Linked DNA regions of Caenorhabditis elegans. The protein of the gene in region 4 interacts with the protein of the main gene of each other region in a pairwise test. Each region holds a gene or a part of one and is shown on either strand. Other genes may lie near its edges.

Region 1 (5,513 bases), on a different chromosome or scaffold from region 4:
TGCTGCTCGACTTGAGATTGTAGTCTGGGACAAGGATGAATCAACTTGATTCAATTCGATACTTTGGCTTCGAAAAGTTTCCGGAGGTATTTCCCGATTCTCTGACACAACTCTAGAGGAATTGTACGAATCAGATGTCTGCGAGTTCATTTGAGAATGCACGTCTTCTTGATGTTGACTTGATTGTTGATCTTGTACGTCGGTTTCGGGTGTTTGAACATATCCATTACCAGTCATAATCTAAAAATGTGATTACTTGAAAAATTCTGAACTATAAGTCACATACATCCAACAGTCTTGTATCATGAAGATACTGTACATCAGAATCAACGACTGGATTCGGGAGCTGAAATTATATTATGTAAACTGCAGGAGGTTGTGGCTTATATGTTCTGGGAAATTTTGATAAGCAAAAACCAAAATGTGAACAATTCAAAATGAACCAGGACACTTTTGCCACATACTGATTGATATCCATTTCGGCTTACAGCATCACAGGTGTGTAGCTTTTGTGGATCTTCATGCACACTCAATGCGACCCAACCTGCCAGAGATGCTTGAGCCTGCAATATTTTTATTTTAATAGTTTTTTTTAAAATCGATAACTTACTTCAACAATAAAACTGCGTCCATCATAGTGTTGACATGATGATTTGATCAGACTAAAGTCGTCAATAATATGATCATAGGAAATATCGTAACTGGTGAAATCATACAAATTATTTTTCCGATCTACTATTACATCAAATCGAGCTGTTATCTGAAAAATTATAAAAATCCGTACTCTTTATTTATTAAAACTTTTTCCATTTGAGATTACCAAAATTTCTCCTTCATCGTTAGCCTCATACTTCGGAAAGAATCTCGCCGATGAATTTCTGTGATTCGGCAAAACGTCCCAGTTTTCATATCCACAACTATTTGAGGAATCCAATACGTATTGTCCCACGAAGTTCTGACAAACAGTTAATCTAAAATTGCTAGTTAATAAAATCAGATAAAATAATGTCTAACTTTAGCCAGCGTCCTATCTGCAGGCTCTGAATATTTCCACTGATTTCGACAAATCCATCGATATTTTTGGTATAGAAAAGATAATTTCTGTTTCCATATTTATTGTAACCAACTACCAATCCATATATTTGGGTTTGCGGTTGTTGAATTTGTGGTTGGGGATTATACGACGATGATGGCTGACTTTGAGCATAATAGTGATTTGGAGGAAAATAAGAATGGTACCCATTATGCATCTGAATAGCAAGAAAATGAATATAGTTATAAATCAGAACTGATGTAATTAGCAATGACTTTTAACATAGACGTGAGCACAAATGGTATAAAACAGTTTGAAAGCATTTATTGTAAATGGTTCCCCGAAACAAGAAACTTATTTTTTTCATAGAAAAATTAATGTGATCTTCTCGTTTCGGAGAAACACCAGAGATGAAGAATAGGCAAAAAATAACAAATTAAGAGCAAAAAATATGAGATTCATAGAACAAACTGGATTATTTCTTCTGTGCTTGGGCTGCTGCTTGAGCCATCATCTGGAAGCTTTTTTGCATATTCATCACCTTGTCTCGCTGTTCCGTACACTTCTTCGAAATGTCTGAGATGCTGGCTTCCACTCGTTTGCTGAAAATTGTAATTAAAGTTTTGTTGCATTTTAAAACGTTTAAAGGTAAAATTTATTTGTTATTTTTATTTGTTTCGTGTAAATCAATAGCGTGCAAGAAGTAATACTAAAGAAACATGATAAACGTTACAACTCACGTCTCAGAGTCGATAAACTCAAGCCGTTTCTCCACAGTCGATCGAGCCTCCTCCAAATCTTGACGAACAAGAACCGCTCCGATGAGTTTGTAGACTTTCGAGTCGGATTCCATCAGATCAAGCTCCTGAATGAAGATAACATGAAAACTGAATCTCAAACTTTTTCTTACCGCTTTCACATTTTTACTCTCAGTTAATCTCATTTCCATCTCTTGGCGACTCGTGAAGTACTTTTCGCGGTCTATAATTAAACGATTGAAAAGATTGTTTAAATTAACAGTTACTAACCTTTTTCAAGAGTTCTGAGCTTGTTAACTTCTTCTTCGAATTTAGCCATATCAGCCATTTTGATCGTTTTTAGTGGGAAAAGAAGTGAAAGAAAACAAAATTGTGTTTAAAAATCTAGAAGAAAAACGGGTTCTGCGCCATCCTTCAAAGCGCCAGCAAGCTTTCTTGACGCATTTTCCGTTTTTGGCGGAAGTTCAAAACTGGATTGTATATGTTAACTTCAATTTTGTTATGCTTTTGCTAAAATTTCATTCAATAGTGACAATACGAAATATTTTCAATATAGATATTTCCAGAATCGTGAAAACCAACTTTGCATGGAATCTTGATAATATTCTTCGCGTATCTGAAAGTTTTAGCTTAATTATATACAATAATTAAATAAGTTTCTTGTAAGTTCAGGGTATTTCCCTAGGTTCTATAAACATAAAAATATATTCTTACCTGTTTTGTCTTTTTCAATTCTGACTCTAGTTTTGATAATTGAATTTCAGAAGAACGAAGTCGGTCTCCAGCAGCGTTGAAATGCTGGAAAAAAAATCAATTTTGTTTTAGCCTTGATCCACTTTTTTGAAAGTCTAAAAAAAATTGAATAAAATATTTAATATACACTGTATCCAAATATACTAATAAATCATAAAACAAATCGTAAAACAGAAACCATAAACTCACCGATTTTTCAATTTGTTGTGTTTGAATAAAATCATTTGAATCGGTATATAACTGCACTTTGATTGCATTTCTTGACTCCCGATAATCACTCATCACATTCTCAACTGCTTTTTGTCCAGATTCAGCGTCTTGAAATACTTTCTCGAATATTTCTTGGCGTTTACGAAATTCTTTCTTCTGATTTTCCGTTTTTCTGAAATTGTTTGAAAATTCAACAAATCAGAATGTTCACTTTATTTTATAACAAAACGAAATTTGAAATTGCAACTTTTCTAATCTTTACAATCACTCTAAAGTGAAAACTACAAGACCAATAAGGGATTCGCTCCGCCTACGTTCAGACCAATCAGTGACGCTACTCCGCCTTCATCCGTTGATTGTTTCAGTAGTAGGCGGAGATAGTCGCCGATTGGTTCTTATTAGGAAAGTCGCGTTTCACGTGGTGTCAGGCTGTCTCATTGCGGTTTGATCTACGAAAAATGCGGGAATAGTGTTCCAGAAAATTGTGACGTCCGCACGCTCTTCACCGTGCGAAATCAGATGAGATGTCTGCGTCTCAATTCCCGCATTTCATGTAGATCAAACCGAAATGAGACGTTCTGGCTCCACGTGGCGTTTACGTTAGGTTTTTATCGCTGCTCTTTGTTGATACTACAGAAATTGAAAATTTTCGAGTACTTCAAGACAAACCCCAATTCAATCAAAACGTTGCCAACTATTTTATAGGGATCTTAAATAGTTCCAGATTAGTATTAATTCATGCTACCCAAACTTTAAGTTACGGAAAAAAAAAAGTTTTGAAACTTAGTGATGTAATGCCAAATATCAAAGTTTACCTCACTTTAATACGAATATACCTATTTGATTATGTTTCTGAGAAACATTTCAATTTAATAGCTAAAAACCAACATTCCACCTACATCGATTATCATATCAAATTGCTTTTTTCCACCTGTTTTATGAAAATCGGTAAAAATGGTTGAAGAAATTGACCAACAAACATGACTTTTTGCAATTAAATATTTTTTTATGAATAACAAAGCAAAAGAAATAAGTTCCTTATAATTAAAAAAGGAAATTACTCCTACCTTTTTGCAAGCTCCGCCTCTTCTCTAATACGATGCTGCTCCAATTGTTCAGCTACCTTCTTGAGCTCAATTTCCCTTCGCTTTTTTCTCCATTTTGTACGTTCCCGTTCTCCACGTTCACTTTTTGTCGGTGACGACGATGGCGATGACTTTTTTGTTCTGAAACGATAATTGGATGGTCCCCCGTCCTAAAAATGGACATCTGCCGTTGATCGACAATTAGTTTGGCGCCGAATGGGTGCCGACCTCCTCTGAAGAACTCACCTAGCGAGCTCTTCTTTCTTTTTTCTTTTTTCGATACCGCCCGTTTTTTTGGCCATTTTGCATTAATTTTCGGAAATGATTCAAAGTTTGCAAATTTCTTAACTAGATATTCAAAATTTTGATTCACGTGTACTCCAATGAATTGCAAAATTGAAAAGTGACACCTCAACTTTTATGAAAAGTTAGGAATAATTTGTTACTTCCAACTGTGTTGGTCTACAAAGCATTCTATATATAATACATTATATTTAAACCAGCCGTGGACCGCACCTACGGCGCGGCCCCCGACTTTTTGAGAAAACACATTAGATATACGGTGTCTATCGCGGACCTCGATCGATGTCTGCTGCGCATTTAGCATAAGGTTTCCCAAAATTTCGTTGCTCTGATCAAAGATCAAACTACATAGGGACAGAAGGACACGCGCTTTATATATAGTAAATGATGATATAATGAGCCAACACAAAATATGTATCATTAAATCATTATATCATTAATGATATTTATCATTCGAATATTAAAACCAAATATATTTTATTAACTAGTTGATACCACAAAACTCTGCAAGTTAATTTGATGGCTTTGAAGATTTGAATATCATTTTTAAATATCCAATTCATGATAATAAGTTATTTCATATTTATATAAGGAATGAAACAGTTTTATATTTGTTCAGCTCTCTGGATAGTTTTGAAACTCTTGCTAAACATTTCAAAAAACATTTAATACATTACCACTTCTAAAATGTCTCATCCATTCTATTTTCTGTTTTTCCGACTCCCACTTGCTAATAGATCCGTGCCATTTGTAGTATTTATTTTCTGCAACACAAGATTTCGAAACCAGTTGAAAGTAGAGTTCCAAAGCGTGCCTAGAAACCACTTTACGTCAATGTGAGTCAATATGTACACGAAAAATTGAGGAAAAAGTGAAATAGAAGATTCTCGGAGTTGGGGCCAACTTATCACGCCAGTGTTACCCGTTAGTTTCATTGTTATTGTTTATGTTACTGTGTATTTACGTTTGGTTTTTTTGCCACGGAAACTTCTCATATACTTTATTCATAAAAATTACGTTGGACGAAGGGCGTCTCAATATACATTTTAGTTGGCAGCTTGCATCTAACTGCAATTAAAAATGTGTTACCGTATATTTAAACATTGCAGTCTCCATCCACCTTCATAGATTGAGCATTCATAATTGATTTACACTGCGCACAGCTAGATCCTCGCAGCATTGGTTTTGTGGACGCACGAATCGAAATCTAAGATTTAACTAACGGAAGCTTCTGGAAATTAGTAATAACCAGAGAATATGCGGTGACTAAAATGTGTTTTTTGTTGTTCTATAGTTTTGAAATTGAACATTAATCCATGAGAAACGAAGACATGAGCTTCCAGCATGCAGGATTGAGATGAAGGTAATTTG
Region 2 (10,280 bases), on a different chromosome or scaffold from region 4:
CCCAATTTCTCATATTTTAATCTCAGTTTTTTTTGCCTATTTTACTCTGTTTTCTCATTTATTTTTTTGACTCAATTTCCCCTTCACACAGTCACTCGGTTAGATGTTTGTTTTTATTTTTTCCACTTTTTTACCCGTTTTTCGCGCCTTTCTCCTGAAAATCTCCCTCCTCCGCATAGGTAAGCAGCCATCATGTTTTTTTGATTATTTATCATATTCATATTTTTTCAAAAAAAATTTTCGCAATGAAAATTGTTGCCTAAAAAATTTACAAAAAAAAACAATGGAAATTGAGCTCGGAGCCAATTTGGACGATGGCGACCCGATATGAGAGTTGCAATTTTTTGAGATTAATCTGGAGGAATTCGAGGTTTTTCAGAAGCCATTGATTGTTACGCCATTTTCGTCTGATTGAGCTGGAAAAAATTATTATAGGGTCGCCGAAATGGGTCTCGCAGCGAAAAGTATTATTATACGTTTGAGAAGCTGTAAACTTTCCGTTAAAAGGCACACGAGGAAGGTCTCACAGGGAAATGTAATATTATACGTTGGTGACGCTGTAAACTTTCATTTTCAAGGCGCATACAGTGGCTCTTGCAGCTAATAATATTATTATACGTTTGTGAAACTCGGAAGTTCCAATTTAATGGTGCATCAGTGAGTCTCGCAGCGAATAGTATTATTATACATTTGTGAAGCTGGGAACTTTCATTTTCAAGGCGTAGGCAGTGGGTCTCGCAGCGAAGAGTTTTACTGATATTTAGATACCAACAGTAAAATTATTTTCAGAAATTCTCAATTTCTCAGCAGTATCAAAATATGAAAATTATCTATTCTTGGACATTATCGATTTTTTGAAATTTTCGTTATTCCCAATTAGCCGATTTTCGAAACGATTTTGTAATAATCATTTTGGAATTGAACCATTTTTCCGAGTTGCCAATTTTTCAAAATTATTGATTTTATCACAATCGAGTTGCGGTGATCAGAAAAATCTATGTTTATCGATTTTCCAAAATATCGATTTTTCGAAATTATTGATTTATTAAAATTATCGACTTTTGGCGATTTTTTCCCCAAACAAAATAATTATCGATTTTTATCAACCAACGTCGGAGCTCACCCAAATCGAGTTGCCGCAAAAGAGAGAAAATCGATAGTCTTTGCCGATAGAAAATCAATACTTTTATCAATTTTTTATCGCCGGCGAATAATCAATAATTTTATCGATTTTTTTGATTGCCGGGGGAAAATCAATAATATCATAGTTATTTATCGCCGGCGGAAGATCAATAATTTTATCGATTTTCCAATATTATTGATTTTTTAATAAGAATTATCGATTTTTGGAAAATATTTCCAAGTCACCAAGTCATTATATATATTTTAATTTATGAACCAGCGTCACAACTCACCCAAATCAAGTTGCCGCACAAGATCGCTCATATTAGTAGTAATTTGATCAGCAGCATGTAATAAGTCTCCTTGTAGACTTGTCGCCGGCAGACTTCCCGCACGGAATGCATTTGCTACTGTCGAATTGACTCCAGTCAACTGTTGATCCGATGCAGTGAATGGTAATTGGGATAGAGAAGCAGATGATACACCTCCTGATGGTTGGGGTCCCGTCTGGAAAAGGTTTTTGTTGTTTTGAAATCAAAAAATCGATAATTTAATTTTATTGATTTTTTGAAGGTTGAATTTTTCAGAAAAGCCGATATTGAATTTTTGATTTTTACTGAAGCTTAAAAAATCGACAGGTTTACACATTTTATCGGTTTTTATCGCCGGCGGAAAATCAATAATTTTATCGATTTTATCTCCGGCGGAAAATCAAAAACTCCAAAAACTTTGTTTTCTTAAAATATAAAAATTATCGATTTTTCGAATTTTTTGAAAATTATCAAGTATTTTTTCTAAATTTGGAGGAAAATATAACGATTGTTTTTGAATTCTGCAAAATTATCGATTTTTACATTGTTTATCTATAGAGCGCGTTAGCCACAGTAGGTATGACCTACATTCAACTGAGCCATTAAATGCTCCAATTGCATCATTAATTCTCTCCTCCTCTGTTGCATTTCAAACATTTTCTCTTCCAATTCCATTTTCCGGTCGCGGAGCCCGGCGAGCCCGTCATCGGAAGTTGTTTGGCTCTCCAGTCGAGCCATTTCCCGTACCATCATTGAATTTTCTTCTTCCAGTTGAGCAATAAGGGTCCGTTCGTCTCCGACCATTGAACTATTCATACTTCGACCGTTTGATAGGGGATACTGCAATTTATTGATTTTTAAAAAGAAAAATCGATAATCGATCAAATTTTATTAAATCAATAATTTGACTTTCTGCCGCCGGCGGAAAATCAATAATTTTATCGATTTTTTTGATTGCCGGCGGAAAATCAATAATTTAATCGAATTTTATCGCCGGCGGAAAATCAATAATTTTATTGATTTTTTTTGTTTGCCGTCGGAAAATCAAGATGTTTATCGATTTTTTTTATTGCCGGCGGAAAATCAAGATTTTTATCGATTTTTATTGCCGGCGGGAAATCAAGATTTTTATTGATTTTTTCCTGATTTTTTTCGATTAAAAACTCACATCAGCCCTTCCCGACAACTTTGCTGCATATCTCGCAATAAGCTTATGCTCATCATCAATAACTCCTCCATGCGACGCCTGTCCCGGCAGAAGTACCGGTGACGTCGGCCAGTCCGCTGATGACGTGGCAGCGTGTTGCCGGCGGATCGTCGTCGGTGTCGCCGGGACGATGTTGTTCAGGTTTAGCGGTCGAGCAGGTTTGCTGCTGACCGGGCCACCGATTTTTGCGTTAAAAATATCGATGTTTGCATCGCCGACGGTTGACGTGGCAGGAATACATTGGAGACTTTTGTGAATTGAGTGTACGAGCTGTTTTGTCGGCGATTTCTGAAATTACTAAGTTATTGATTTATTGATTTTGGAGTTGAGAACGCTTTTTTCCATAATTTTATCGATTTTTTTTTTGCCCGGCGGAAAATCAATAATTTCATCGATTTTTGATTGCCGGCGGAAAATCTACATTTTTATTGATTGTTTGTTGTCCAGCAATTGATAATTTCTCTGTTAACTAATCGTTTTTGTCGAATGAAAATCGATAACTTTATCGATTTTTTTGATTGCCGGCGGAAAATCAATAATTTTATCGATTCTTCATCGCCGGCGGAAAATCAATAATTTTATCGCGCGCTTTATAGATACATTTTCGTGTACTCCACGTGGAAAATCGATTTTTCAAAAAACTCACATAGCTGGAATATTCTTTCATCTCGTGCTCATTTGAATGATTTTGACTCGTCCTTCCCCGCCAAAAACAGCTTTGACACAACTGATAATTGGCGCATCGCTGACATTTATACCGAAATCCTGTGAAACTTCTGACTTGACACGCATCACACACCACCGGATGGTACACGTTGCTCACAGACGCCATTCGATGTAGCAAGGGGAGCCACATTATGCATGGGGGACATGGATCGCTGGAATATTAATTTTGTATGATTTTTTGATAATTTGACAGAACAGGTTTCAAAGTGTTGGTTGATAAATTTTCAAGAAAATTAACGCAGTGGCTATAGAGTTACACCATTTTGAAGATTCTAGGCCACGGTGAGAACTTCGGTCACCCCGTGGGGGGGGGGGGGGGACCCGTGACCCCATGACAACTAAAATTCGATTTTATTTGATAATTTGATAGAAATTGTTATATAAAGTGTTCTGATAAAGTTTCAAGAAAATCGGCGCAGTGGCTTTAGGGATGCACTGTTTGAAAGTTTCTAGGCCACGGCGAGGACTTCGGTGGCGGCGTGGGGACCCGTGACCCCATGAAAAGAAAAATTCGATTTTTTGATTTGGTTTCATTGAATAAGTTATAGATACAATTATTGCAGAATTAAAAAAAAATTTTTACAGTTTTTCAAAAGTTACACCGCTCTGAAAATCCTAGGCCACGGGGATGCCTTACGTGGCCGCGGGAGGACTTCAGCCCTACGTCTATTATTTTTTCTAATTTTTCAAAATGTTAGGTGTTTCAGAACTTCCAAGACACCTAAATTATTATTCTGGGTGAGTTGAGGGACTGGTTTTCCCCCCGATGGGAGAGGAAATGCATTTTCTCTTTCGCGCGTGGTGTCAGAGTGTCTCATTTCGGCGTGATCTACGTAGATCTACAAAAAATGCGGGAGAAGAGACGTAGAGTTCTCAACTGATTTCACATGATTAAGAACGTGCTGACGTCACATTTTTTGGGCGAAAAAATTCCCGCATTTTTTGTAGATCAAACCGTAATTGGACAACCTGGCACCACATGCTAACGTAGTTTTGTGTAAAAGGTTAATTTTTTCAAAACTTTTTCAAAACTTTTTCTAAAATCTATTTTTTTATTTATTTCCAAAATTGATATCTACCTCAAAAAAGTGTCCAGAAACACATTCAAAGATACTTTCTCATCCTTATGAAAGCACTGATTAACCGCGTTTTCGGAAAATCCAAACGTCGGTGCTTCGAAAACTGCAGTGGTTAGGGAGAGGATTTGTTGCAAAAAATCAGTAAATTTAATATGATCCATTAATCCATTCGAATCAGCGATTTGAGAGAAAATGTCTGAAATTTCAGATTTTTTTTTGAAATTCGCAAGCGCAACTCACATCTCAGCTTGTCCACCAATTTTCCAGCGCAGAGTGTTGCCAACGCGACTTTTATTGAAAAAACCGTCAAACGTCCGGTATTTTGTCTGAAAAATTGGCTTTTGAAGCGTGTGACGTCACTTCTAGGTAGCGGAATATCGGAGTGTCGTTGTGAGAATTACAGCCTAACTGCGCACGGGGTTTTGGCCTTCCTCATTGAATTTTTCGCGCTCCATTGATAATCGCCTGCCGGACGGGAAAGTCGTGTACTCCACACGGACAAATACATTTAGTTTTACAACTAAAATCGAGCCGCGACGCGACACGCAACGCGCCGTAAATCTACTGGCCTAGTTCGGCAAAAACTCTTCCATTTCAATTTATGAGGGAAGCCAGAAATCCGTGACTTTATCAAAAAAAAATTTTTTTGCAAAGTGTCCTTATATGAATAAAAATTCACTGGGAAATTTTAATTCCAGAGATATGAAACCCTGAGATTTTTTCTGCTCTTTCAGTCAATTTTCATTTTTGAAAAATCAAAACATTATGCTGAAAACAAAAAAAAACAGAAAAAATTTCGGATAGTTGAAATCTGTGGGAACCAAATTCCGGTGGAATGTGAAATTCCGCGGATCCGAAAACCGGAAATTTTCTTTCAGTTTTAGGATTTTAAATTTTTTCATATATTACCAAAATTTCTGTTATTTACAGAACATGTGTAGATTGAATCCCGTAGATTCCAATACGCGGAATCAAAATTCTTAGGGAATCTAGATTCTGGAGACACGAAAACCCGAATATTTTTCGTTATTTTTTGCAGTAAAAATTGGAATTCTAAATACACAGTTTTCACGCAGTAACACAAGAAAAAATTCTTAGAATTTCGAATTTGCCGAATCTAAATTCCTGGGGAATCTGGGTTCCGGGGATTCAGAAGCGTGAGTTTTTTGTCCGAGAGGAGTCCAAAACTCACTTATCATAAGCACCTAACAAAAACGCGAGTAGCAAAGAAATCGATACATCCGTGTCCACATGTTGTGACGCTACAAGTCTTTTATTCAAATTGTGGAATACTGTAGTTAGCAGAAGCTCGGCGCGTGACGTTTTGATCTGAAAATTTCCCCCACATTCTCAATAGAGCACACTTGCAACATACCACAGTATGTAGGGGTAATGCATTGAGTCCGTTTTCTCGAAAAGCTTCAATCATATTCCAAATATCTACCAAATGAACTTTCGTCTTTTGTTGAATAAATCGCAGTTTACAGGCGGCTCGATACGTGGCAAATCTGATGGAGTCGAAATCTTGGAGACCTGAAAATGCGCTCTATTGATGATTCAACTTTTTTTCTGAACTTTGGGCATTAACCAATGAAAGCCAATAATTTTTTTGCACTTTTTCGCAAAGAAGAATTATTTATAAGCTTCCCTTTCTCAAGAGGAGTAGCGGAAAAATTCATGAATTTTCAAAAAAAAACTCGGGTAGTTGATATCCACAAAATTCTTAGGGAATTTTCGATTCTGTAGAATTGGATACCGGAATTTTTAGGGTTTTTTTTTTGGATTTTTTTTGAAGGTATTTCCGTGTTTTTTCGACAACATTGAGCATTGAGAAAAAATGTTTTTAAAAAAGTCGGGTAGTTGATATCCGCGGAAACAAAATTCACGGGATTTTTATGCCGCGGAATTGGAAACTCGAGTTTTTTGTTCTTTTTGCGGCGAAATTTTTGCTTCCACTCGTTTGTTATTTTATCCAGACCCTGACTAATTTTCATAGAAAAAAATCCGAAAATTTTATTCCCCGAATGCCAAATTCCCTGGAATCTGGATTCCCGTGAAATTTCGATAATGGGGGATTTGAAAACGCGGAGTTTTTTGACATTTTTTGTTGTGTTAACTTGTAAATTTCATGAACATTTTGGAGAGTGTATCAACTTTGAGCATTTCGTATAAATTTTGTTTTAAAAAATCCAGTAAATTCAAATCCACAGAGTACTTAATTCCAGGGAACTCTAAATTCCGACGACTTAGAAACGTGGAAATTTTTCCGTTAATTTTTTACATAATAAGGTATTTTTTCTACTTTTTCTTTGAAAATTTCCGAAAATTCAAATCCACCGAAAAAAAATCCCAGAGAAAATAAAATTCCGGAGAATCAAAAACGCGGGAATTTTTTGCGTTTTTTAACCAATTTTTCCATGAAAAAATTGAAATTGGAATTGAGAAAAATGGTAAAAAATTTGGGTAGTTAATATCCACGGAAACAAAATTCCCGGGAATTTTTATTCCGCTAAATTGGAAACTCGAGATTTTTTGTCCTTTTTCGGCGAATTTTGAGTTTCCACGTAATTTTCACATTTTCTGCAAAAATTTATATTTAAAAACTCAGAAATCCAAATACGCGGAAGCGAAATTCCAGGGAAATTGGATTCCGTAGATTCAAAAACGTGAATTAAAAAAAAAATTTTTTTGCTGTGCTAACTTGAACATAAATTTGAAAAAAATTTTAAAGAAAAAAAATCCCGTAAATTCAAATCCACCGAGTACTTAATTCCAGGGAAATCTAAATTCCGAAGACTTAGAAACGTGGAGATTTTCCGTTAATTTTTTTTACATAGTTAGGTATTTTTTCTACTTTTTCTTTGAAAATCTCTAATGAAAAAAGATTTATTGAAAATTTCCGAAAATTCGAATCCACCGAAAAATAATCCCATAGAAGTTAAAATTCCGGAGAATCAAAAACGCGGGAATTTTTTAGCGTTTTTTAGCCAATTTTCCCGCAAAATTGAACACCCACGCATTTCATCAATCAATTGTTGCATTTCAGATGCCACAATTGGTGGTACAGAATGCATTGCACGATGATGGTCTGGTGATGGTGCACTGCTCGGCTCACGTGGTCCTCCTCCACCATTTGACCACAACATTTCAGGAGAAAAACCCAGAGTGTCTGAAATTTAAAATTTAAATTTTAAATCAATTTTAAAAAAATTTAAACCAAAACTCCACCCACAAAATGGCTGGCCAGAGCTAAAAAGTGGTAGGGTTTAAAACAAAGAAAATTGGGGGAGCTCTGGCTCCTAGTGGGCGGAGTCTAACTCTGGGAGAGAAGACATTTGGGGGGAGCCTAATGGGTTTTGCATGTATGCGCGCTGATTTGCTTGGCACATTACTAAGCCAATATGTTTCAGGGAACCAACGAGGTTGTCCACGAGGAGTACAAAAAATATTTTTGGGGAATTTCGACTCCGCGGGATTTTAAATCTCAGGATTGAGAGAAAAATAATAACGGTCACGTGGTATCAGGTTGTCCCATTACGGCTTGATCTACAAAAAATGCGGGAATGAGAAATCAGTTGAGAACTCTGCGTCTCTTCTTTTCCCTCATTTTTTGTAGATCTACGTAGATCAAACCGAAATGAGACACTCTGACACCACGCGCGTAAGAGAAAATGCATTTCCTCTCCCATTGACACCACTTGAATCCCGGTAAATCAAAATCCCAGGGAATTTCGATTCCGCGGATTTGAACTCCCGGGGGCGTTTTGTAGAAATTTGTTCAATAAGCGTTGAAATCCACGGAAACTTGATTCGCCGGAATTTTCGTTTCCGTGGATTTCAACTACCTTACGGTTTTTGAGCTAAAATTTTTTTAGGTTGAAATTCGCGGAAACTTGAATTCCGGAGAATTTTGATTCGGCAGAAATTGAATTTGTGAAAAAAGTTTTTTTTCTAATCGGGTAGTTGAAATCCCCCGAAACTGGAATTTCGCGTGTTTCAGGTTTTTAAGCGAAATAGGCCCAAACTTGTCCACGAGAACTACACAGAGTATTCAAAAAAAGTTCTTTAAAAAAAATATTTTCAAAAAATACAACAAAAAACTTGCTTTTTTCCACGCGGAGTACACAATTTAAAGCCTTTTTATCATTAGAGCGTGTTTGTATAAACAATTTATAAAAAAATTTCAATAGAGATTTCCACTAAAGAAAACTTCAAAATTCGGATTAAAAATTTGTCCAATAGAGCGCGATTGCATTGCAACAACATACGAATTTTCAGGTAATATTGCCATTAAAGCGCGATTGCAGCAATAATTTTTAGAAAAATGTTGAAAAAAAAGGGAAAATCGAGCCAAAAATACACGAATTAAAAATTAATTCGTGGTATACGCTTTTGCTCTCGGAGCACTCAAGGGAACACTGGAGAAAGTGAATTTAGGCAAACGTGAGTGAGAGAGAGAGACTTAGAGAAATAGAGAGTATTAGAGAAAGAGAGACACAAGACGGATCGATGTGCAAAAGGAGAGGAGGGGGGGGGGGGAGACGTATTGGCTCAGAGAGCAGCGGTGGGATGAATGTGAGCATACGGAGAAAGATGGAGAGAGAGAGAGAGAGAGAGAGAGAGAGAGAGAGAGAGAGTGCAGAGAAAAAGAGATAGGGGGCCCCCACTGAAACATTGGGACCCCTCACCCCATCCGTCTCAACTCAATGAGGTGTAAAAGTATACGCATTATACACAGGGATATTACGAAGTGGATGAGGAAGAGAAAATTAGTGGCCTAAGTTTTTGGATTTTCTAGGCCACGAAATGAAAGAAATTTTGGCTTAACGTGTGTTTGTTTCTCCACTTTCACAATTTTAAAAGGAGGCGGTTTTATGCGGAATGTTTTTTTTTGTTTAAAATTCGTGTAGATCAGGGGTGGGCGACAAATTAATTTGTCGACAAATTCGGCAAATCGGCAAACTGCTGGTATGCCGATTTGCCGGAAGTTTTCGATTCCGGCAATTTGCCGGTTTGCCGATTGCCGGGAAAAATCGTTTGCCGCCCACCCCTGATGTAGATCAAAATGAAAAAAAAAAAAAAAAAAAAACAGAAATACGAAATAAGAGATAAATTGTGTGATCTACCCGTGATCTACACGAATTTTACACAAAAAACTGCTAAAATGATGACTCGAAAAGGCGGGAAAATACCCTGTGACGTCACATCGCATTTTGCATAATTGGTTTTCAATTTAAGCGCCGATTTTCGTAAAATTTATTAAAATTTTTCAAATAAATTTTTTTATTAATTGGCTTTATTCAATGTTATTGCATTTTGACTCGATTTCTCCACTCAACTTGGGAAAGTTGTGTACTCCACACGGACAAATACATTCAGTTTGACAACTAAAATCAAGCCGCGACGCGACACGCAACGCGCCGTAAATCTACCCCAGATATGGCCGAGCCAAAATGGCCTAGTTCGGCAAAAACTCTTCCATTTCAATTTATGACGGAAGCCAGAAATCCGTGTAACTTTTCACGAGCTCATTAAGGTTTGTATCAATTTTTTCTGGTACAATTTTTTTTTAATTTTAAACGAAGATCGCACGTGTTTTCAGCTCGACCATTTGGTGTCATTTGTGCAAACACCGTCACGCGCAAATGCAGACATTTTTGCACGCGCTGCGGTGAAATTCCTCTTGGCAATGAAAAAAAAAATTATTAAAAAAAATTTTGAAAATTAGAAAATTTTCGAGGCGTTGGTCGAGCTGAATACACGTGGATCGTTTAAAGGTGGAGTAGCGCTAGTGGGGAAATTGCTTTAAAACACGCCTATGGTACCACAATGACA
Region 3 (6,840 bases), on a different chromosome or scaffold from region 4:
GAGTACAGTGAGTCTAAGCCCCCCTTCGAGTGGACGAATAAGACGAGTATCGGGTGCGTGAAGTGTACCGCTGGTGCTCCTGTCGCTAAGCATGCTCAACGACAACTCGGGTGCCCGATGGTGGTATAACTAACAATCCGCAAACATGAGATGACTCCGTGTCTTTTCTCCTTATTCTTCTTCCGTTACTGTTCTCGTATTCTTCACGCATGTTCGCGCCCCTATATCTTGTTATTGTTCAATGCGGAACGAATTTTGGAACTAAAGATGGAAGGCTTTAAGTTTGAGAAGAATTTCATTATGTTTTGCTTCAAAAAATTTGATATTTAAGGCAAATGAATTTTACAAAATCAGTTAAAAAAACATTGAAAAAGTTTTGAAAAAAACATAAAAGTGCGCCTCGTTCTAAAATTTGAAAATATCCAGATTCTGATATCTTTTTCTGAGAATTTGGAAACAATTTTTCAAAAACAACATTATAAGTTCACTAAAGAAGTTAAGTGATCTGAAAAAAATTAGCATCTCAGTTATCTAAAAGCGAAAAATAAAGAGCAAAATGTGCCAACCCACTTAAAAGGAAACAAATGATCTGCTCAATCTGTGTCTGTCTGAACGGGATTATGTTACTCCCCAAAAGAAAAGGAGGACGTTCGAATAAGAAAACGAGAGTAACACATCCCAAGTAAGCAAACACTGCCTCAATCGGAACACGTCCATTGGGGATTTGCTGTGGACAGCATTTTTGACAAGAAATTTGCAGCATTTTTGGATTCAGAAAGTTGACATGAGTTTTTCGGGTTACCACTAGATATTTGAAAAATTCAGTTGTACTTTTTTGGAGTGATGAAAATAAAAAGTAATTGGTAATCTTCTAATTACAACCTGATCCCCTATTGTGTCAAAATTTATCATTGAAAAGTTTAAAATTTCTAACAATAACTTCAACTCAATTCCCATCTATCTCTTGGTTCTCAACAATCTCCAATTTCATTCGGAACGGCAAAACTGCGCACACTATTGGGGGCCACTTTTCTGTGGTTCGGGGGGCGAGATGTTATTCGATACTATTTGGTATAATAATTTAGGAAAGCTAATTGAATCGAAATGTGTGGCATTTTCTCAGGAGTCAGTGGCAGATAAAATGAAGGATCTTCATCAAAATGTTTAGTAGTAGAGGTTGCACAATCAACCAACTACATTTGATTAATGGGTGACCTTCCAAACAAACGGCAATTGCCACAAAAATTGGGTGAGTATATTGAATGAGTGTGGGAGGATAAGAAGCACAGAGAGATGAGTTGCAGTGGTCATTTGTTATCTCATTGAAAAAGAGCAAACGATTTGAGGATACTTTCTTTTTAAAAATTTTAATCATCGGATATTGAGAAGTACAACTTTATACCTTCAAAAATTGGTTTTTTTTTGTTGTTTACTCTATGATTAACCGCTTAAATTTAGATGTAGTTCATGGAGTGAACAAAACTTACTAGTTAGAGCAAGAATAAGTTAGCTATGTTTTTGTGAATGGGAAGGGTTTATTTTAATTTATCATTCCTAGATCAACAAGTCTTGAAACTTCAACCAGAAATTAATTCTGGTAAACTTTATGTAAAAACTGTATTTGGAAGATTCAAAAATTCCCTAAAGCACAGGCAAAAGGCTTGTCAAGTGAATGTTTTCAGTTATCCATCACCACATCTGCCGTAATATTTTCGTACCAGGCTTGTGTTCAATTGACAGGCTCGTAACGTTTCTCTTTTTGATAATTGATGACCCCTTAAACTATTGCTATCTCTTGCTCAATCAAATGGACAACTGCCTCAAGTTTGCAAAACTTGATCTTGATATCAGAGGGCTAAGCAAAAAACTTTGTTCAAAGAAAAACTAGAAGAAAATCGAGAAAAACAGGAGGTTCTTTTGAGGCCAGCTACACCTAATTACTCTCCCAGTTTCACTTGATCCATGGCAACCAAACGACACAAGCAATAAAACAAATAAGACTTACTTTTGAGGTGAGGTTGTGCAACGAGTCGAGGATTAAATTGTAGAGCGAGGAGCAGTTCTCCAAAAAGATATCCACTTCCTCAGCCGACGATTCGATGACCTGGAAATTAAATTATTGATCATTAAAATGGGCAAAGTAACAGCTGGAAAGATATCTAGGAGATATTTTTAACGATGGTTGTACACGCGCAATTCGATCTTGTACAGCTGCGTAGTGCAATTTAATAAAACAGTTTATAATTTGATACAAATAAAAAACCAAAAAAGGTGAAACAAGATTTTCAAAAAAATGTAATTTGTTATTTTCATTATTTAAAATTGTCAAAATTATTCTGAAAAATTAAAATATGCGCCCATTTTTCTAAATGACCCTCACAAACGATTTAACGACAATCAATGGCCACCCGCTCTACCAAAAAGAAGTGCTTTGCTTTCAGTGTGACTGTAAAATTGGTAATTCCGAGTCAATTTACGATTTCTCGACCTTCCGGGCGGCCCACTTTGCAATAAAACGAAGAGTAAACCTGACGTTAATCGATTCAATTGCCAAAATTGAGAGGATCAAGGAACATGGCACAGGAATCGTTGTGTAGGAACAACCAAGTTTGGAGAAATGCACTCGAACTTGCAAGTTGCTCTTCACTGCCGAGATGCGCACCTCGAGAAACACTTATGGTATTGGGCACTCGGAATCATTCTCTTCTTACTAACAGCTTTTGCCAAACAAAGTTACTAGTAGTCGCGCTCTGGGAATGTGTGTGAATGGCGTGAGGATTCAATGGTCCGCATATTGTTTTTGGAAACAAAAAGAGAAATATGGGGTAAGTCAACAAAAAAAGGTGTCCATGAATGTGTTGACTTTGCGGTACCTTAACAAGGAAATCTGGGAAATACCTATACTTACTAATAATACAATGAAATATTTTACAAGGAACCTAAGGTGTCAGTCAATTATTTCTCATGCGAATCTTTTAAATATTAAAAAGTATCGCATTTTAAAGGTTTTACACATCATTTAGCGGACCAATTTTGATAACTTTTATGTTTTTCCTGAAAAATGGCTCTCAAAATTATGTGCAAAATCTCTGAAGATCAATATAATTATGTTGTCTGAACTTGATTCTGCGCTTTTTTGCTAATAAATGTACTTAGCACATAGAAATAATTAATATTTTTTAATGATAAATTTTCGCACACTGAAATATGGGAATGTCTTAAAATCTCTTGAAATTTAAACTCCCGTCATCAATAGTTTTACACTTTCTCCTTCAAACTTCTTTTCAAGATAACCACAGTTTTCAATTCAATTTACTTCGTCGTCCCCCACCAGATCAAAACATTCGATAAGAAAAACTAAACGATGCGGAATTTGAATGTGCGACACTAACTCTTTCCACCTCCAGTTATAAATCTTTGAAGCACAGCGAAAAAAAACTTCAGCCGTTCGTCTTTAGTCAATCGAAAGAAAAAAAAAGATAGCGTGGAATTCGGGATTTTTTGCGCCAAAATTGAAAACTCGGCCTCTCGGGCTTTTTGACAGCTTTTTGCAAACAATTGATGGCGCAAGGGTAAATGCTCAAGCATTTTTCAAAAAGGCACTTTCAATAATCAAATAGATTTGAAAAATAAAATTATTTTCGCTCGTTTTGGTTTAGAAAAAAACTACATTCTACTTTGGTTTGAATAAAGAAATCGAACTTTTAATTTTTTTTCTCCTACTTTTAACGAAATTTTACTTTTCAAATGAATTCAATATGCAAGAAAATGCGTTGAAAATTTTAAAGTATTTTTTTTTCGTAAAATTTAAAGCTCTGCCTCACCTTCAAAAGATGGTCCTCCGATGATATATCATTGGGCATCTCGACCTCCGAGAATGAGTCCATTACGTCCATTCGTAACCTGTTTTCGGGTTACTTTCGGTGTCCAGGAATAAAAATAAAAAAATCAGAGAAGTTTGTATCCAGACGTGGGATACTGTACTGGTAGGGGTGGACGATCAATTACGCATCTGCGCAATATGATCACGGATGAGAAACGGATCTGGAAAAATTTAGTTTAGACGGAAAAATACTTAATCAAAACGAAATGAGGTGAAAATTTAAAAATAGAAAAAGTATATACAATTTTTTGTGTGTAGAACAAAATAGGAAAAATTTCGTGAAAAACAAAGAAAAAGAGATTAGTTGTTTCATTGGAGCTGAAAATAAATTTCAAGAAGAGATTTCTGTTGAGATCAAAGTCAAGAAACGGAAATTCAAGTCATATTGAGGATAGAAAATTTGCAAAATATATACTCAATTCAAAACTAGCCTAGTTTACCAAAAATCTATGAAAATTGTGTCGAGCAGTAAAACATCCTTTTAAAGATAATAAAAAATGTTTTTAATAAAAATGTAGAAACACACGAAAAACTTCATAAATGTTTTACTTATGTATAGTACGGTTTCCATAAAATTTGTTAGGCCAGTTTTTGAAAATCCAAATAAAAATCCATGGATTTCATGCCCTGGACAACAAGCCATCGCCCGCAAAAATGTTCGCAAATTAAAAGATAAACATAGAAAAGTGTGAGATGCTCGAAATCTGCCCCCCAATCCGAAGTCTCCGCCTTAATAAACAATAATACTGATGAGAGAGGAGAATCTAGAGAGTTGGGAAGAGAAGCTTGTGATGATGATGGATTATCATGTCATTCACACAGTTTTCGTTTCTTTTCGACACCTGATAAAATAATAAAAGATGATAATTATGATGGAGATATTGTTTTATGAATTTTTATGAAGATTTATGAAGATATGAAAATATGAAGAGATAGGTGTGAAAGTGATAAAAAAGAGATTGGACCAGGGAAATCAGCTGGAAGATTTTATTTTGTGTGAAAAAGTCTCGTGATTTCCAATAAAAAATATTAAGCAAAATTTATGGAAATTATCACAACGAGGTCCAAGAAATTTCCAAATTACTACAAAATAGGTTGTAGCTTTCAAAAAAAATGTAACTTGATTTAGAAAGTTCTGGAAAATATCAATTAACAAAACGTTGGAAAAAATATTTTTGAACTTGTTGAAAATTGAATTAAATTCCTTTTTTTTAAATTCAAGTTTCCACCCATTCATTTTTCAATTAAAATTGAATCTATGGAAAACTGGAAAGGAACAAATCGAAATTTTGAAAATGTTCACGAATAGATGTCCAACAGCACATGGCCCTGACACTTTTCGAATTTATTGGTTTTGTTGCAACAGGAAGTTCCCCCAATAAATGTGATAGAAACACAGTGAAACGATGGGATAATGGACCCAAGTTAATGGAGTCGGAAACGGCAGACAGCCCCGGCTCATTTATCACCAATGTGCGAAACATTGTGATACTAAAGTAGAAAAGGAACACTTTGTAGTGCCCGAATGTTTTACGAGTTTTAGAAATGATTTGAAGTACAATTTAGAAATTTCATACTTGAAATATTCTGAAGAACATTGCAAAATTTCAAAAAGAAAACATTTGTTTCTAGACTAACATCAAAATTACAACGCATTACCAAAACTGCAGAATAAACTTCGAACGTCGTGTCTAATTTGTTTCACAATTAAAACTATTTAGGCCCTTTGTCTCAAATGTTTGAGGGAATCTACGGCAAGTACTTGCATTACTATCAATTTGGTAGAATGTTGGCTCTGCATTGGTTGATAATAAAAAAGAAGAGACAACCGTTTTTATTTGATAATGCAACAAAATGTCGCCCAAACTGCGCTTCTCGTTTGCCCCCAGTGACTCATAGAGGGGTAACACTTTCAAAAACAGTTAGAAAACTTCAGCTCCTTCTCAAAATGCGTAAAGCCATTAAAAAGTTTTCAAAAGAAAATTATGCCTGAGCTGATCAGTTAATTGAAGAATTTTGAGTGTTCAAATGCCAGCAGAGAATTTCCAAAAACACTTTAAAATTTCAATATTAATTGTAAGCACATTAATAGAAATTAATTTAAATTCCAATATTTCAGAATACTTCCTTTTCTCCGAAAACCTTTCAAACAATGTCATCTTCAAAATGAACATGATGCTAATCAGTTCATTGATAATTTACTTGATACTCCTATGCCAATGGAGTCATAAAGGTTGAAAAACTCAGTCGACACGTAAACATTTACTACCACCTGATACTATCTCGATTGCTACTGTGAAAATTGGCAGGAATGCAAGAAAACAACGGGCGCCTGTAACTAAAGGCGGTCAGCACCAAGACAAAAAACGACAAAGAAATGATAATTTGTGTATGTGTGGAAGAAACGCAGACAGTTGAAGAAGTCAAAGACATGATTGAAAAAGTCAAACAGTTTGTGTTGACGACGTGGGAACCATCAGGAGACACACATTCGATTATCGAGCTGTTTTTAGTTTTCTTTTTGAAGAATGATAGTCTAGGGCAAGCGTGTGGGAGTAGAAGGGTTGAGAGGAAGACAGTGCAACATTGCTGGCTGGGTGCCAATTTTTTCAAATGTGAGAAATTGATCATGTGAATATATTTATAGAGACTGACATAGATAGACAGATGATTGAGAAGCAGAGTGATTGTGGGAACAAGATGGATCGTATTGTAATTTTGAAAGGAACACGAGGTTCTATAGAAAATTAGTAAGTAGTGTTTATTTTATTTTAATTGCATAAAAATAATTTTCTGATAGCATCACAAATGTCAAAAACATGTTTAGTTTGGCTCTAGCTAATTATCTAAGTTGAACTCAATAAATGTTAAATTGTGTCAAAAGTTGGGACTAGTTGGGCAAACGATGGGCAAGTTTTGGGAAGACTTTGGAAACATTTGGTCAAGTTTGACCCATT
Region 4 (8,096 bases):
AATTGGGACATCTGGCCTAGCGAAAAGTGAAAAGTGAGAATCCTAGGCCATGGCCGCTGCAAAGCGCGCGAAATTTGAATTTAAATTTTTAATATCATTGAAATTCGATGAATGAGACATTATAATGGATAAAACTACAAAAATATATACAAAATTGTTTTTAAAATGAATAAATCACATATAACAACGATTATTTTCCTAAATAAAAGTGGAAATTCGATTTATTAGGCAATTATTAGGAAAATGCGTCAAAAGTGGCACATTTTTGAACTTTTTTCAAAAACTAGGCCCACAAAGTTTTTGAAACTTCACCAGTTTACTCGGTAGAGTATTTCAAACAAATTATGTGCATAAAAACCATACCCACCGTCACAAGTTCACATTGAATTTTTCAATTTTAGCTCGGAAATTCACAAAAAATCAGTGAAATTGGCACCAATTTGAAATTTTTTCAAAAACTAGATTCACAAAGGTTTTGAAACTTCACCAATTGACTAAATGAAGGTTTTTGAACAATTTAAGTACATAAAATGTATACCCACCATCACAAGTTTACACTTAAAATTGCTGTTCATTAATGCAGCTTCAAACTGCCTTGTTTCGTTTTCTGCGTAGTTCACTTTTTTTTGTATTTGAATTTAATGTAATTTTAGTGTTTCTTTTATTCTTTTCCAAAAAGATAATGCATTTTTTGCTTGAATTCAAGGATATTTTCATATAACACGAAACCGAAACCGGGAAGTATTAATTGCTAAAATTTATGTGGACTACGGTAGTCAAGTCCGCAAACACCACGCGCATTTTCATAATTGCGTACATTTGTTTTTCAAGCTTTTTTCTAGGCCAGAGGTACCAATTTACACGCCGTGTGAGAGATATCAAAAATGGATCTGCTATGCTTCAAATTCACGTTTTTTGCATGATTCAGGATCAATTGCCGTTTCGGCAGATGAAACTGTGAGTTCGTGGTGTAATGGTCAGCATGGATGCCTTCCAAGCATTCGACGGGGGTTCGATTCCCCCCGAACGCATTATATTTTACATTGTCTTTGAAATATAATTTGTGATCTACTGCTGATCGAACATTTTGAATAATTTTGCCTTCCTGTAAAGCATAGAAGCCGGAAGTAAAACACGCGTCAAATTAGATATATTGTAGGAAGATCTAAGAATTAAAAAAAAGTTGAATCAAAAACATTTTTTGCGTTCGGGGGGAATCGAACCCCCGTCGAATGCTTGGAAGGCATCCATGCTGACCATTACACCACGAACGCTCGTTTCGTTTTGATGAAGTTGCAATTGATTTATCATGCTTTATTTCTCATCAATCCTAGACAGTGTAAAACAGGTTCATAGGAATAATTCAACAACCAGGTATCCTTGTGGATATCTTTCTTGTTATAATGACTGTTTCTGAAGATGAAATGAAATCTTTCCATCTGAAGATTTGATGCCTCAACTATGCGTTCGTGGTGTAATGGTCAGCATGGATGCCTTCCAAGCATTCGACGGGGGTTCGATTCCCCCCGAACGCAGTATATTTTACGTTTCTCAAACTTTTTTGTCATGCTCATGATCATGCCGGAAAGGTTAGAAAGGCCATGTTTGACTTGTCATGCCAAGCTTCTAAAATGAATTGATTTCTGTTGAAACAACAGTCTCAAAACTTCAATCTCAAAAAAAAACTTCCCACTCAAGGTTGTCAGAATGAGAACTGACGTTAAAACTTCTAAGATGCCGTAAATCAGAGTAACACGATTTTTCATAATTATGCATCACTTCACCTCACCAATTCTGAAAACAGATTTTCTTCTACAATGTTTTTTCCATAAAAAAAATCCTCAGTTTAATATGTATAAGTTCCAAAAGTTGCTATTTTTGACCACAACATTTTCATTTCGAAATGCGTGCCATTAATCCACGAGTTCTTAATGTCTTCTCAGTTCCCTTTTTTGTACTTCGAGAGACTCGCCATCGTCTTATTTGTAAAGTTCATTGCACTCATAGAGAATTTAAATCGAGCATCGCGTAACAAAGCGTACAATAAATAGATAAGAAATGCCATGTTAATTTTTGAATGTTAAATGATGTGTTTCCCATAGAAAAGTGCTCAAACATTGTACGTTGGATGCTCCAGGAAACGTTAAAATGAAAGAATTATCGGTTTCCATCAATGACTGTACGATACGTGTGCATACCATCCAACTTCCTGTAAACAATGCATTTTTGATTAGCAATAGGGAAGTTTACAAGCAAAACTCAATGAAATTGGCTTACGTCATCAACATCATCAAGAAGAACTGTCTTTGTGTTTTTGGAGAAATCGAAGCTGTAGATTTGAGTAGCAACAATATCATCCATTAAATTCGGAGATTTCAATGAATGAATCTGTAATTGTTTTTAATATATATTTCAAAAATGAAATCAAAATTAATTATCATACCGAAATCTTCTCATGTGGGTGAATGTGAGTTGCAACTGGTAAGATGAACGTTCCAGTTAGCGCTCCATTCACATAATGATTGATTTTCCAGTTAGAAAGATCTTTGGACTTATAGCTGTTTGAGTTTTCAATGACGATTGATTCATCTTTGTGCTCCTAAATATTTTTTTTCAGTTTGAATTGCCCAAAATAATATTCACTAACAATAATCTTAACATCTCCTTTTCCATAGCTTCGGAACTGTTGGGTGTTAATGGTCGATGCGGAGCTAATGTCGTAGTTATCATGGTGTACTGTTTTGTTATCTGAAATTATTTTTAACTACTTTGTTTCGATTACGGTCACGACGATAGAATGCTTGAAAGCCGAGAATGTGCCACTTTTACAGGTGAATAAATTATTTTGGCTTTACTGGTCTAAAAATGCCAAACTTTACCTTTCGACCGAAAATGTACCAACAAGGAGGGATTTTGTCTAAATACACATATAATGATCCTAAACGATCAAATATCATGGTATAGCACTTTAAAAACTTTTGGATTTTTAAAATTTACCGTCAATGTTTTAACAAATTGTAAAATTAAAAAAAGAAAAGCTTTCAAGGAAATACAGACCAATGTTGACTGTTAGAATGTTTTTCCCCTTAGAATGTTTTAACACAAATAATTAAAACAGAATTAAATTACAAAATTAGTAGAAAAATGATTTTTGGTCGACATCCAAAATTATGAGTGCAAAAACTGAGTAATAGTCACTTTTCCAAATTCTTTTCGAAAAGTTTTATTATGATATTTGGTCATTTTGGCACCATATGATTACGATAAAACACTTTCCCCGCAAGCGCTACGTCACCTTTAAGAAAATTTATAGCTAATTAAAAAAAAAAACTAATGCAATCGCGCATTGGTCAAAACGCCATCTGTAAAGCACAAATTAACAGGAACCAAATTGTAAACTGACTAACGTGTATCTCTAACATTCAGTGAATATGATGATCCATAATGATGAGAAGATGTGCGCATCAAAGGCGATGGAGTATCGATTACGAAATCGCTTTGGTAGCTTGTCCGCAGATTTTCAGCTTGTTCCATCAACTTGCGGTAGTGAGCAATTTCACTGCGGAGGTTCTGTAAATCATGGTTCTTTTTATTTATATAGAAAATTGAACTTACGATCTGGTTTTCAACTAGTGTCTCAAGTTCAACAGATAGTTTTGCGCATTCATCTCTCATTCTCGTCACTGCTAGTTCCTTTTCAGTGAGGGATTGTTCAAACATTCTCAATTCTTCATCTTCACGGAATTTCATATCTTCAATTCTCTTGCTAAGAGCTTGGGTCTGAAATTGTTTTTAAATTAGTTTTTCCAAAATCAAAACCAACCATCGAGTCTGCGTCGGAAATTTTAGTGCGCAACTCATTAAGCAATGATCTGATACGTAGAACTTCTTCCTGGAAATAACAAATTAATTCACAACCTCAAAGTGCATGTCACTTACTCTTGCTTGATTCTGGGTAAGACTGAATTTCTCAGAACGTTTCTTGATTTCGGTAATCTTCTTCTTGTACCACTCCTCCCATGTTTTACGAGCTTTCTTCGAGTCTGACTCGAATTGATCACGGATTTCTTTCATTGACATGTGAAGCTCTCTGTGGAAGAACTCGCGGTTCTTGTCTGTAGAATCACGTCTGGCCTTGTTAATTTCTTCACGAATCGCAATTTCGTGAGTACTAATCGTTGCATTCAACTTCTTCAAAAGATCCTGAGCAGCTGTTTGGGAACGAGAAAATCCATTGCGTTCTTTGTCACGAAGTGCCAAAATTCGCTTGATTTCTCCACGAATGCGAGAAATTTCGGTTTTCAGGTGAGATTTTTCATCGTCACAATCATTGATAAGTCTTTTGATGTATGCTGTCTCAGACTCCAAATCAGATAAATGCTTCAATTGTTCCTTTTTATCAGAACGAACTCTTTGGCGATGTTCGAGTGAACTCGCTAGGCTGAAACAAAATGTAATTGAAGTTTATGTTTTTTATCTCTTTATCTCACGTTCTAATGGCCGTTGTGATTTCTGGCTCCAGCTTTCGAATATTCTGCTTAGCAGATGACACTTTGGCTTCCTGCTCGCGAACCAGAGTTGCCAATGACTGTAAATTTGAGTAATGAAATAAAACCTAAATACTAGAAACTGACGGTTTTCTCTGCATCGTAGTAGTCTCTGACTTTGCCAGTATGAATATGAGCAGCTTGGCGGAAAAGACCAATGTCATTCTCGAGAACCCGGTTTTGAGCTTCAAGGAATCGGACCTGAAATATTATTTTTACTTATCAATTAACTAAATCTTATCATTGAAAAAGCACATGCATGCTTATGGAAACTTGATCAAAACTTCTCACTTCAATTTTAAAAAAAGCAAATTAAAAACTAATGCGCGCTTGACCATTTGGAAGAAAACCCACAAAAGTTCTTTTAAATGTATTACTGATTTAGATTCACAGCTTGTTAATTTACACACCAGAGTATTAAACGTTGATTTTTTTAAACTAAACCTTTCCTCATAAAACCGTGTTGCTTTTAAACTTCAGGCGTTTCAAAACAGACACCTGAAACGTTATTGTTCTATTTTTGATATTTTTTTAAATGAATGTTTTTTAAAATTAGAACACGTGAACAAAATTATGGGCAGTTCATTGAGAAAAACTTGAAAAAACACTACAACTCTTTTTTTGAATAGAATTATGGTAGGCACAATTTTTTTAATAACGATAGGTTATATTTGATAGTTATTCGGTCTATAAAATTGTGTGCCTTACATTAAAAACCAATAACAAAAAATTGACTTTTCATTCTCTGATCTGAAATTTTTTTTATTTGCAATTATGATAGCCGTGTTTAGGGTTTGGTCATATTGCTTTCAATTATGCTAGTTTTAAAACAGATGAGGCTTGAAAACATTGAAGACATGGATTTTCTTTATCTTTTTTTTTATTTAATGCACGTTTTTTTTTTTTTTTTTCTTAACTTCTTCAAAACGTTTCTTGATCTCCAGTGCTCTCAAAACTAACCTTTTCAACATATCTAGCCAATCTGTTGTTCAAATCTGCAATCTCTCGTTTTTCTCGATCTCTATTGTCACGAATCGTAACAGCTGCCGCTTGGGCATATGCGGACAGTGAGCCAGCAGAAGTAATTCCAGATGGCAAGTTTGTTCGCCCACTCTCAATTATTCGAGATAGCACCGGATTATGGGCTACACGAGGGTTGAGTTTGCTCATTTTTTAAAGCCTGGAATCAAAATGATGTGAACGATATTGTTTTTCAAACAAAAAAAAACTGAAATATGCTGTAAAGCTTAAAACAAAGCGGTGATGTGAATGAAAATGAAAAGACGGGAATAATCTGACAAACAGTGTGCATATTTCTGTTATCAGCCTTCGTATTCTCTTATCAACATTTTTTCACCACTTTCAGTGCCACAAGAATGCTGCCATTGTATCATAGTGCGGAAAAGTTGTACAGATGGCACGAATTATCGTGTTTAAAATTTAAGTGTGAGAAATTGGTAGTGGCTCGGGATCAGAGTTTACCGCAAATTTTTATTCAAAGGAAGAAAGTCACATGCCCTTCCGTAGTTGTGCGCTTATGTACATATTGAAAATCACGTCCAACGTTTCCGAAAATGTTATCATTAGAAAATTCCTCAGTGGACCCGGAATATTTCAAACTTCATCAGTCCTGTCAGTTGAAATTTACAATGGCTAGGAAGAAAGCGCAAAAATAAGTGTTAACCAAAGTATCTTTTAGATTTGCCTTCCTAATTTTTCAATTTGTGTTTTAATAGAAAATATTTATATCACATTAGCAAAGACAAGGGTGTTATTTCAAAAATAATTTTCAATGTGCGAAATTAATTTTTTTTTCACTTTCTAGTTTTTTTTTTAATTTTGCGATCAACATACATATGTCAACATTCATCACGTAGTATTCCGTTTTCATTCTCTGTAACAAAAATAGTGATAGAACGTGAAAAAATGAGAATGCCATTTGCCATCTCAACAGAACAGAAGAGATCCCCCACAAATTTCAAAAAAAGGAGTAACGGTTCAGGGTATTTTAAACTCATATACTCAACATTTAATTTAATGAACGGCATTCGTAAAAAACCTTTAAAAAATTTTCAAACTTTTTTTATGGTGATTCATAACTTCGAAAAAATGCTAATTTTAGACACAGCTAGGCCTGTGGAGTGGGTCGCCCTTTTTTTGGGTCGGCCGGTTCGGGGTCGGGGTCGCATCTCCGACCCACTTTTGGGTCGGGGTCGCGGCCACGTATTTTCATATTTTCAATTATCGTATTTTCATCAATTATAAAAATATACCTTATTTTCGATACAAACGTTGTTGCATATGTGCTAAATAACAAATTGCTAGTTGCAACTTTCTTGCTATCTTGGAAGACTGTCGAGATATGATCGTGAAAACATGAGCAAAATGAGTAGCTTCTTTGATCGGCTGTGTCCCCGTTCTGTATCAAGATAGCAAGAAAGTTGCAACTAGCAATTTGTTATTTAGCATATATGCAACAACTTTTCAGTTGACAACTTTTTTGCATTTCACTTGCCAACAGAGATGAATGTCTTCAAAGATAGGGTGTTTTCTAGCATAGATCTAGTGAGTTTTTGCCGATTTTTCGCCGGAAAAGTGCAATGAGACATCAAAAACGGTAGAATGCGACTAACAAATGTTTTTCTACAATGTGAACCTTTTTTTAAAACTTTTTTGAAAAAAAAAACAATTTGTGAAAAAAAATCCGCATGCTCCAGGTTTGCGAATCTTCAAGTTTGAAAATCTTCAAACTGTAAAAACTTTCCAAAAATTAGAATTTGGCTGGTTTGCTATTCCAGAAGCTTAAAATCGATACGAGACTTTCTAAAAATTCATGTAACACTGTTTTTGAGCATATTTCAGGTTTTGGGAAAAATTGCAAAATTAAATTTACCCGTGTGGGAAAAGAACCACCGAAATGTGATTATTGACGTAAACGTTAACCAATCGGCCATTCAAACGGTGCTTTCAGTGCAAAACTTTTATGTAGCCTTTTCTACACGTTAAAAACAAGCTTTTCAACAGAAATAGTACTAAATTTTCAGACGGAAATTTTCAGCCCTGTGTGACTCGCCAGCAGAAACGAAAAATAAATTATGTTAGCCAATGATCTTAGCTTCCGTTTGACCTAAAAAACTTTCAGATTGAGGCGTGCTGGTGGAAGATATTCCCTAGTAAGCTACTTTTTGAGCGGATAATCATGATTGTCATTTCTGGTTTCCTATAGCTGTGACACGGGACATTTGACAATTTTTGAGAATTATTATAGGATTCTCATTACAAAATTTTCGGTAGGTTCCAACTCGTTTTCAATAGTTAGTTGTCCTTTAAATCACATACAAGTGTCTCATTCATGTTGTCAAGACTTTATTTGGATGAAAATCATAAACTGGCTGTCAAATGAATAACTTATAAGAATTTAAAACAATGTTCATTTAGTAAAAAAAAAACAGTAAAGTTGGAAAATATCATTAATTAATTTTAGATGAATGGTTATTGAATCATATAAGTAGAATATCCGTTATATTTTATTTTCCAAAATTGAAAGAC

The links.
Region 1: the proteins of ifd-1 (region 4) and pfd-6 interact in a two-hybrid assay, tested with the Caenorhabditis elegans proteins (one large-scale study listed by BioGRID).
Region 2: the proteins of ifd-1 (region 4) and dyb-1 interact in a two-hybrid assay, tested with the Caenorhabditis elegans proteins (one large-scale study listed by BioGRID).
Region 3: the proteins of ifd-1 (region 4) and unc-83 interact in a two-hybrid assay, tested with the Caenorhabditis elegans proteins (one large-scale study listed by BioGRID).

The regions. Positions count from the first base shown.
Region 1 is NC_003279.8:7,281,622-7,287,134, forward strand, and holds pfd-6 (putative prefoldin subunit 6), read right to left. Parts: upstream 2,142-5,513; 5' UTR 2,120-2,141; coding exon 2,062-2,119; intron 2,015-2,061; coding exon 1,944-2,014; intron 1,899-1,943; coding exon 1,774-1,898; intron 1,636-1,773; coding exon 1,509-1,635; 3' UTR 1,343-1,508; downstream 1-1,342. Other genes in the region: rde-2 (SH2 domain-containing protein), read right to left, coding at 1-240, 287-346, 465-563, 611-760, 821-971, 1,015-1,250; F21C3.6 (DUF4200 domain-containing protein), read right to left, coding at 2,339-2,407, 2,506-2,589, 2,734-2,926, 3,822-3,980, 4,086-4,141. UniProt on the Caenorhabditis elegans protein: Binds specifically to cytosolic chaperonin (c-CPN) and transfers target proteins to it. Binds to nascent polypeptide chain and promotes folding in an environment in which there are many competing pathways for nonnative proteins.
Region 2 is NC_003279.8:1,480,417-1,490,696, reverse strand, and holds dyb-1 (Dystrobrevin-1), read right to left. Parts: upstream 7,615-10,280; 5' UTR 7,592-7,614; coding exon 7,462-7,591; intron 5,979-7,461; coding exon 5,821-5,978; intron 5,775-5,820; coding exon 5,638-5,774; intron 4,844-5,637; exon of another isoform or gene 4,772-4,843; coding exon 4,686-4,771; intron 4,642-4,685; coding exon 4,446-4,641; intron 3,519-4,445; coding exon 3,287-3,518; intron 3,091-3,286; exon of another isoform or gene 3,070-3,090; intron 2,929-3,069; coding exon 2,602-2,928; intron 2,274-2,601; coding exon 2,022-2,273; intron 1,630-2,021; coding exon 1,416-1,629; intron 417-1,415; coding exon 376-416; 3' UTR 199-375; downstream 1-198. UniProt on the Caenorhabditis elegans protein: Plays a role in cholinergic transmission and as a functional partner of dystrophin (dys-1), necessary for muscle maintenance. Required for localization of ctn-1 near dense bodies in muscle cells.
Region 3 is NC_003283.11:6,462,269-6,469,108, reverse strand, and holds the start of unc-83 (Nuclear migration protein unc-83), read right to left. Parts: upstream 4,045-6,840; 5' UTR 3,897-4,044; coding exon 3,825-3,896; intron 3,676-3,824; exon of another isoform or gene 3,476-3,675; intron 2,723-3,475; exon of another isoform or gene 2,542-2,722; intron 2,105-2,541; coding exon 2,006-2,104; intron 1,145-2,005; exon of another isoform or gene 936-1,144; intron 800-935; exon of another isoform or gene 660-799; intron 517-659; exon of another isoform or gene 377-516; intron 166-376; exon of another isoform or gene 17-165; intron 1-16. UniProt on the Caenorhabditis elegans protein: Cargo-specific adapter that is involved in nuclear migration during development and thereafter.
Region 4 is NC_003284.9:8,818,722-8,826,817, forward strand, and holds ifd-1 (Intermediate filament protein ifd-1), read right to left. Parts: upstream 5,728-8,096; 5' UTR 5,718-5,727; coding exon 5,508-5,717; intron 4,749-5,507; coding exon 4,635-4,748; intron 4,589-4,634; coding exon 4,491-4,588; intron 4,442-4,490; coding exon 3,940-4,441; intron 3,893-3,939; coding exon 3,824-3,892; intron 3,781-3,823; coding exon 3,616-3,780; intron 3,571-3,615; coding exon 3,408-3,570; intron 2,749-3,407; coding exon 2,648-2,748; intron 2,600-2,647; coding exon 2,444-2,599; intron 2,389-2,443; coding exon 2,278-2,388; intron 2,210-2,277; coding exon 2,171-2,209; 3' UTR 1,982-2,170; downstream 1-1,981. Other genes in the region: rcs-1 (RING-type domain-containing protein), read right to left, coding at 8,075-8,096. UniProt on the Caenorhabditis elegans protein: Cytoplasmic intermediate filaments provide mechanical strength to cells. Not essential protein.